2 linked regions of the Struthio camelus genome follow. The protein of the gene in region 1 purifies or fractionates together with the protein of each later gene. This does not show direct contact. Links are inferred from orthologs where the notes say so. Each region holds a gene or a part of one and is shown in the gene's direction. Other genes may lie near its edges.

The links.
Region 2: the proteins of PHF6 (region 1) and LYAR purify together in Homo sapiens (affinity purification with mass spectrometry; 3 studies listed by BioGRID and IntAct, with this or other methods). This does not show direct contact. The link is inferred for Struthio camelus from reciprocal best matches to the Homo sapiens genes PHF6 and LYAR.

Annotation. Positions count from the first base shown.
Region 1 is NC_090952.1:23,544,118-23,548,027, reverse strand, and holds the start of PHF6 (PHD finger protein 6), read left to right. Parts: upstream 1-1,352; 5' UTR 1,353-1,625; intron 1,626-1,887; exon of another isoform or gene 1,888-2,663; intron 2,664-3,910.
Region 2 is NC_090945.1:72,689,333-72,693,242, reverse strand, and holds the start of LYAR (cell growth-regulating nucleolar protein), read left to right. Parts: upstream 1-1,585; 5' UTR 1,586-1,692; exon of another isoform or gene 1,693-1,758; intron 1,759-2,276; 5' UTR 2,277-2,344; coding exon 2,345-2,466; intron 2,467-2,871; exon of another isoform or gene 2,872-2,899; coding exon of another isoform or gene 2,900-2,937; intron 2,938-3,882; coding exon 3,883-3,910. UniProt on the Homo sapiens protein: Plays a role in the maintenance of the appropriate processing of 47S/45S pre-rRNA to 32S/30S pre-rRNAs and their subsequent processing to produce 18S and 28S rRNAs. Also acts at the level of transcription regulation.

The DNA of each region.
Region 1 (3,910 bases):
GCAGAGAAAACATATCACATAAAGCACTTTTGCTGACATTGTCTGCAATAGTTTTTCTCAATGCAGAAGTTATTGCTGACATGATTCATGCATCTTCACTGTCAGAATCATGCTGTGTGTAACATACGCACATGTATATAGCGTGTATCTCCTAAGTAGTAGTGTATGCCTACAGCTCAGATAACTCTTACTGTTGACTTTTTTTTTTTTTTTAACTTGTATCAGTTCAAAGTGACAGCCCATTTTCTGTAAGTGTTTTGAATGATTTTACTGCTGCAGCTATCAAGAGAGAAGAGTCCTGAGAGTTCTCTGGGCTGACAGCAAAGGGATGGATGTCGCCACACAACTCTTCCTTCACCCCACCTTTCCTAAGGATCCTCTGAGAGCAGGATATGTGTAGGCATGAACCTAACTGGGAAGCTAGGATCAAAATGATGCTTAGCTCTCCCTGCTATATAGTATTGGTAAGAGGTAGGGAAAAGGCATATGATTAGAGTTATTGTGGAAGCAGCCAGTGCAGTGACAATTTTCTGTTTCAGTTGAGACTGTTTTTAATATGGAGCATCCCACGGGGATTTGTTCAGGTCGCTGAGGCTTGTCTGTACCTCAGCTTCTTTCCACGCTCGCCTCACTTACCTCCCGTTGTCCTGCTCAGTTCTCTCATTTCAGTCCTACTCTTTCTTAGGAAAGTGCTCTAGCCTAGCCAACAACCCTCCCTCCTTTCCCAAACGCAATTATTGGCCAATTACTGGTTAATGCGCTTTCCCACCTCATCCCTAAGCCTTCTGGCTGAGGCCTTGCTCTGCTGCCTCAGCACAACGCTTAGCCCAGCCAGGCCATTCTTTGGTGGCCCAAAGTCCTCCCGTAGGGGCTCTGACCAAGAAGCCGCAGCTGGCCAGTGTGGGCTCGCAGCTGGGCGGCCAGGGGAACCGTAACTCCTCCCGCTCCCTCCCCAGGAGCCGGGCCGAGCCGGCAAGCGGCCCGCGGCCGCCTCTGAGGCAGCGCCGGCTGCCGTCGAGCCCACCGCCCCATGGCGGTCTCTGAGCGCCGGAGAGCCGCGCGCATGCGCCAGCCCTCCTCAGCGCGCCGCCGCCGCTCCATGAGACTGCGCCGGCGCCTCGCCGCGCGCCTGGGGCTCTGCGCAGCCTCAGCGCCCCCCGCCCCCCGCCGTCCAACGGCTGCGGGAGAGTGCTGCGCACGCGCAGAATCGCCCCGCTCCGCCTTCTTCCGTTTCCCCGCTCCCCTCGCCTCACGGCCTCGCGGAAAAAAAAGGGAGGGGGCGCGCGTGCGCAGAAGGTCGCAGGGCCCGGCGTGCTCCCGCCGCGCCGCCTCGCGCGCCAATCGGGCGCCGCCCCGCAGCGTCGCGACGTCGCGGCCCGAGCGCGCCGTGAGTGCGTGCGTGCGTGCGTCGGCCCGTGCGTGCGTGCGTCCGCTCGTGCGTGCGTGCGTGCTTGCGCTCGGCGGCGGCGGCGGCGGCGGCGGCGGCGGCGCAGCGTCCCCTGCCCCGAATGAAAGGGAAGGTCCCGGCGGGCGAACGGCCGTGAGCGACCGGCAGTGACGGGGGGTGGGGGTGTCCCCGAGCTGCTCCTCTCCCCGCCCGCCCGCCTGCCCGTCTGCCTGCACGGGTGAGTGACTGAGTGACCGACCGAGTGCCCAGCCGCCTCTTTGCCGCGCGCCCGGGGTAGGCACGGCTCCCCGGCCCGCTCGCCCCCCGCCGCCCTCCGGCCGGGCCGCGCGCCCTGACCTCCCGCTGCCGGCGGCCGCCGCTGCTCCCCGCGCCGGGCCGGGCCGAGCCGAGCCGAGCCGCCCGCCCCCGGGAGGGTCCCGGCGCCCCGCGCTGCCTCTTCAGGGGGTCCCCGCCCCCCCCGGTGCCGTTACCCGCCTCCCCGCGGGCGGCGGGCAGCAGCTCGCTCCGCCCGCCTCGGCCCGCTCCCTCCTTCTCTGAAGGATCCGCCCCCCCTTGTCTGCGAGTCCTGTTTCCCCCAAAACATAACGAGGAAGAGGGGGGACCGCCCCCCCCCCCGGGGAGGCTCCGGTGCCACCGAGCCCCCGTGGGTAGGCCTTCCGTGGGCGGAGGGGGTTAGGCCCCGCCGGTGCTGCGGCGGGCCCCTACCCGGCTTCCTGCGAGGGAAATCGCGGCAGCCTCTCCCCAAAGCGGCGCCGTGCCTCATTGATCCCCCCCCCACCCCGGGGAGGTGAGCATCGCAGATGCCTTTATCGGATCATCTCTCGCTCCCCGTGGGAGTAGGTAAACTTTCTTGAAGATCGGTCTGTGCCGTCTGCGAGATCTTCCTAACCTCAGGCTGTTTTTGTGTAATTTTCAGTTACCTACTCTATTGTTTAGACTTTCCAGGGTTGTTTCAACCCCCACCCCCTTTGGTTCCCTTTTTCCAGGGAAGTTGTATGGAAACCCCCCCCATCCCGCTTTTATAGTGACTTTAGGATACTGAAAGTGACTCTTGGCTAAGATTTCCGTGGGACTTGTCACTTTGGCTTCTCAGCTACAGACATCTCCATGATCTCGGTTCCTTTTCCCTAGCCTCACCCCTCTACCCCAAAATAACGTCCACAAAAATAGGTGATAGACCCTAGGGAGTATAAAGCACTTGTAAGTTTCTTGAACTGGGAATCTGCAATCTCTAGTCATCTTGAAAAATATCTCTGTAAGTATTTTCTGTAGGTTTTCCTGTCAGTGTCCAAACCACTTTGTGCTTGTCTTTTTGTTTTTTTGTAAGTTTGTATATTTCTCTTGGGGGTTTTATTTGGATGTCTGAGATTTTCTTGACATGAAAATTTAAATCCTAAATTTTTTAAATATAATTCTGTAGTCATATAGGCCACACATCAAAAGAAACCTTAAGTCAGAAAGTATAGCATTTAGAACACTGTCCTTTGTTGGAAGTACAAACTTGGGCTTGACTTCTATAAACAAACTGTAGCTCTTGAAACATATTCAAGTGATAAACAGAAATTAGAATCCAGGTTACTTTCCCTTCCTTGGTGCTGAACAACGTCTCTTATGCTAAGAAGCGTCCTTCTTTGCCTGAGATTCTTGCACTTGCGCTTTTCCTTTGTACTTCTAAAATTTGTTGCCTAGTACTCAGTAAAACCAATATACAGTAAAATAAATGTAAGTACAGTAAAACATACTTCTTTTAAGGTAAAATAAAGGCGTTATTAGGAAAAGCACCATATTGAATACCTTTAGTGGACGTTAAGAAATATAAATGCAAATGAACCAAACATTTTGAGTGAAAAATCACTAATTGAGTATCTTCTTCTCTTATTTTAGGATAGAGGTAACCTCTCGTTTCTAGACCATGCACATGGAAGATGTATTTAGATGTATTAAGATACCTGTTTTGTAGCACACGTTTAATTTTGGTAGAGATAATGCCTAAGCTTTCTAGTGAGTGATTCCATAGTACCTCCGTTTCAGTGAACCAGTCTACAAAACTTTTTTCTCACGAAGCTGATATGCAAAATTTCTGCCAAGAGTGTATTTAAATACTGTTTTAAAAATCTCACTTATTGATTATCTTTTTAAACACGGAAAACAGAAATATTAACTTGTTTTTAAGTTGCACTATTTTCCTCGTTCCTGTGAAATGTAGCTTGATACTTAGCAAACTGGATTAGTTGCTCTTAGATTATTTTACTCTAGAAATGAAAACAAGATTTTGAGCGTTTGCAGTCACAGTTCTGGGTCTGTGATACAGCTGCGTACCTTCGTTCATCTTTCTCGGAAAACAGGTATTTTTAAAGGGACAGGGTAAAACATGCATTTCAGCACAAAGAAAGGTGATCCCAGTTATGTCAGAACAGTGCTTTCTGACATTTATGAGAAAACAAACAGTTTAGAGATAGGTCTATGAATAAAATGCTTCTGAAATGTTTTCTGATACTTAAT
Region 2 (3,910 bases), on another chromosome or scaffold:
CTTCAGTTTAGAGCTGCAACATGAGCTGTAATGACATTTGTCTTTTTTAAAGGTGAATCACAGTACTGCTCACCACTGGAAACAGAGCAGGAAGTATAGCAATATAGGAAACACTGTTTTTAATGAAATTTTACCTATTACAGCGAGCTTCTGCAAAAAACATTTGTTAAGGGTGCTGCCAATAAACTGAACTCTGTAACCACAGAAAAGCAATTTAGACAACATTGACAAGAATTAAATTCTCAGGCAAAAACATTCCAGATTTACAACATCAACAGTAAAGAAACACTTGCAGAGAAAAACCTCCGTTTCTTCATATAGACACAAACAGGAAAACTTTGCAGTATCATTATTTATACCAAACTCATTGCTGTCATAGCCGCATACATTTCCCACACGGGTCTTATTCATTAGAATTGGTAATCTTATTACATAATAAGACATAAAATTCCTTTTAAAAGCCACTTTTCTGAACAAGTTAAAAAAGAAACAACTAACACCTTATTCCCACAAACACATATTTACCTTCCACACTTCCATATTTCAAAGAAAGTAGAAGACAACTCTCCCCCTCTCCACGCTTGTAAACATGAAAGGACGACTCCAACTATTTGAACAATTAGCAGCTATGTTTTTTCAGCTAACGAATGAAGCAGGAAAACTGCCTTAGGCTAAACATGAGAATAAAGTGGTTATCCCATTCTCAATTCTGACAGACACTAAAGGCTCCAAATTGTAATTCAGTCTGCACAACTGCAATTCATTTTCTCCTATTCTATTAGGACACACTATTACATTGTACTTTTCCCTACTGTACATGTAATCCTATTGTACCTTTTACCAGCTTTAAAACAAGTAAGCCACACCTGTTTGCTGGGAAACTCCTTTCTTTGTGCAAGTCTCTCATTACAAAGGATCTTACAAGTACTTAAACAACCTGTGACTTCGGACTTTCTTTTCTCAGCAATCAGGTGCTCTTCCCCCCCCAGGAAAAGGCATACGCCTCGAGCTACTCCCAGGCAAGGGTAACCCCAGCAAGAGTCGCTATTTACGCCTAAACTGCCACTTCAAGCTCCCCTCGCCCTTGCCTGGGTAAAGCTCGCACTCAGGCGTGCTGCACCAGAGGGGGAGCCGAGGACGGCTTTGCCTCAGCGCCGGGCGGTGAGCGGGGTGGAGGGCCCTGCCCGGCAGCAGCCGACCAGCCGGCGCCGCGGGAGGGCGAGGAGACCCCGCAGAGCCGGTAACGGGCTCCGAGCGGCCGCCGCCGCCGCGGGGGTTGGGGCAGAGCGCGGCCGCCGAGGCCGAGCAGCGGCAGCCGGGCCCCGCGGCGGGGCAGGAGGCGGGCTACCGCCGCCGGAGGGGGGGCCGCGGCGGGCAGCGCGGCCGAAGGGAAGGAACGGGCCAGGCTCGGCCCAGCGCTTACCGGCTGCTGCAGCCGCCTCCCTGCTCCATCCCCGCCCGGCGCCGGCGCCAACCCCGCCGCCCCCTCGGCTCGGCGCTTCCGCTGCCGCTGCCGCTGCCGCTCCTTCCGCTTCCGGGGGCGGGGGGAGGCGGGGCGCGGCGGCGCAGGCGCAGAGCGGGCGGTGCCGGGGGCGGGGCGGGGCGGGGCGGGCTGGCGGGCGCGTGGCTGGAGTGGCGGTTGGAGGCGGCGGTTGGAAGCGGCGCGGGTCGGCGCGGCGCGGCGCGGCGCGGGTGAGGGGACGGGACGGGAGAGCGGGACGAAGCGGGAGGGGCTGTGCCGGGAAGCGGAGGCGAGCGGTGAGCAGGGCGGCGGCGGCGGCGGCGGCGGCGGCGGCGGCGGTGCGGGCCGGGCCGGGCCGGGCCGGGCCGGGCCGGGCCGGGGGGCGAGACTTGGGGCCGGCTGAAATGGAGTCGTTGGGGGCGGCGCGGGATGGGCAGGGGAAGAGAGAAAGGTGGAGAAGGCGCAACTGGGGCACGTGAAGCCGAGAGATTAAATTTACGTAGGTGTCGGGAAGAATCAGAGTTTTGGTAGCCGTAGCAAATACTTTTTTTTTTTTTTTGGTAAGGTGGGCAGTAAGATTTGGCAGGCAGGGATTTATTTGACTGATCCTGGGTTTATTAGTTCCAGGTTAGACTACAGTTGCACTCAGGATAAATTAGCAGACAAAATGAGTGTTAGCTTGTGAGCTTGTATATGTGCAAAATCAAACTGCTTAGATTTTCTGCTGGCAGAGGCACTAGTATTTGTGTTTCTTCGGAGCTGTCAAATGCTTCTTTCAGGCTTTGAAACAAGTATCTCCTTTTTGTTTTTCTAGGACTGTACTTGTGTGGGGAGGAAGAAGCTTGCCCCTATCTTTGCAGAAGCTCTTAACCACTCACCAAAATGGTAGTTTTCACATGCAGTGCATGTGGAGAGTCGGTGAAGAAAGCACAAGTTGAAAAACACGTGAACATTTGCAGAAACTGTCAGTGCCTTTCTTGCATGGATTGTGGCAAGGATTTCTGGTAGGTAAAGAAGGGGAAATAACCCTGCACGCTCAGCAGTGCTTGTCACAGTATAAAATTTTCCTATGACGTGTTAGAAATAAATGTATCAAATTTTGTGTAATTCAAATTTGAATTTAAAAGTATATCCATTTATTTGTATGATTTCAAGGTTAATCATCCAAGCATGAGCAAGGATTCTGCATTTTTTCTGCACTGGCAGAAAGATGTGCAGCAAAACTTGCATTTACTTTTCCAGAACTAAAGAGTAAGCAGCTTTTGACATCTTTCCCCATGGTATTTGGACATTGGTATAAGGCTGACAAAAATCATAACGATTTATGTTGCTGCTGGGAAAACTATAAGCAATAGATAAAGCAATCAGTGTTACTGCCTGAGTATACACATTTAAGACCTTTTCTGCAGACTCGATCCTGTTTCTGGACATTGCTAGATGCTACGTCATCCTTGCTTAAATATTATGTCACACAGGTAAATACTAAAATTTAAATCTTTTTGTGGTTTGGGAAATTGGAAATTTCCAAAACGTTGTATTGAGAAGCAGCTTGAACAGATGAGTGACTCCAGACCCTTTGAAGTTAGTAGCTGCTGTTTTTACCCATTGTAATTTGTGACCAAAGTAAGACCAAGACAATGTAAGCAGAGTTGCAGTTTCTTCTTTTACAGTTAAAAGTGACAGTACCTTCAGCTTCTGATCATCAACAACCATTATCTTTTCTGCTACTGCAGAGAGTGAGATTGGCTGTAGCTTCCAACTTTCTAAACATGGTTGTAATTTCTCTGAACTCAGAAGAAAGCAGTGCTACTATCTGCTTTCAAAATATGAATGTGTGAATTAATTTATGTAAGAAAATGAGATTATCCTGTGAAAGAATTATTATATTTCTCAGTAATTCACTAACAAAAGATTAGGATCTGTGTTGTGAATTCCTTTTTTGGAGGCACGTGTTGATCAGAAAAAGATCACTTAACTGTACAGTAGTACTGTATTACTGTATCTGTGTCTAGGAATTAGGCTTTCACAAGACTTATTAAATCTATTTTTCTAATTTTAAAATGTGTCTACTAATGTGAGCAGCAAAACACAAGCATCTGCTAATAACTTTTTCAAAGGTAAGCAAATATTACATGTACTAATGTGCAAAAGTTACAGACTGACAAATAAAAGCATCAGTATACTGAAGACTCAGATCTCATTTTGCCTATCAGAAATTTCCACTGAAGGGTGTAACACAATGAAATGTAAGCAGTCTTGTAAGCGTGTACTTTAAGCATGCTGAACTTTACTTATATAAGTGTGTTGACAGTATTGAGGCTTAAATATACATGATGACACCTATTACTTCGCCTGTTACTTCAGTTTCCTGATTACTGAAATACTTTAGTGAACTACAGTTAAAAATCTCTTATGTTCAGGGGTGACGATTATAAGGACCATGTGAAG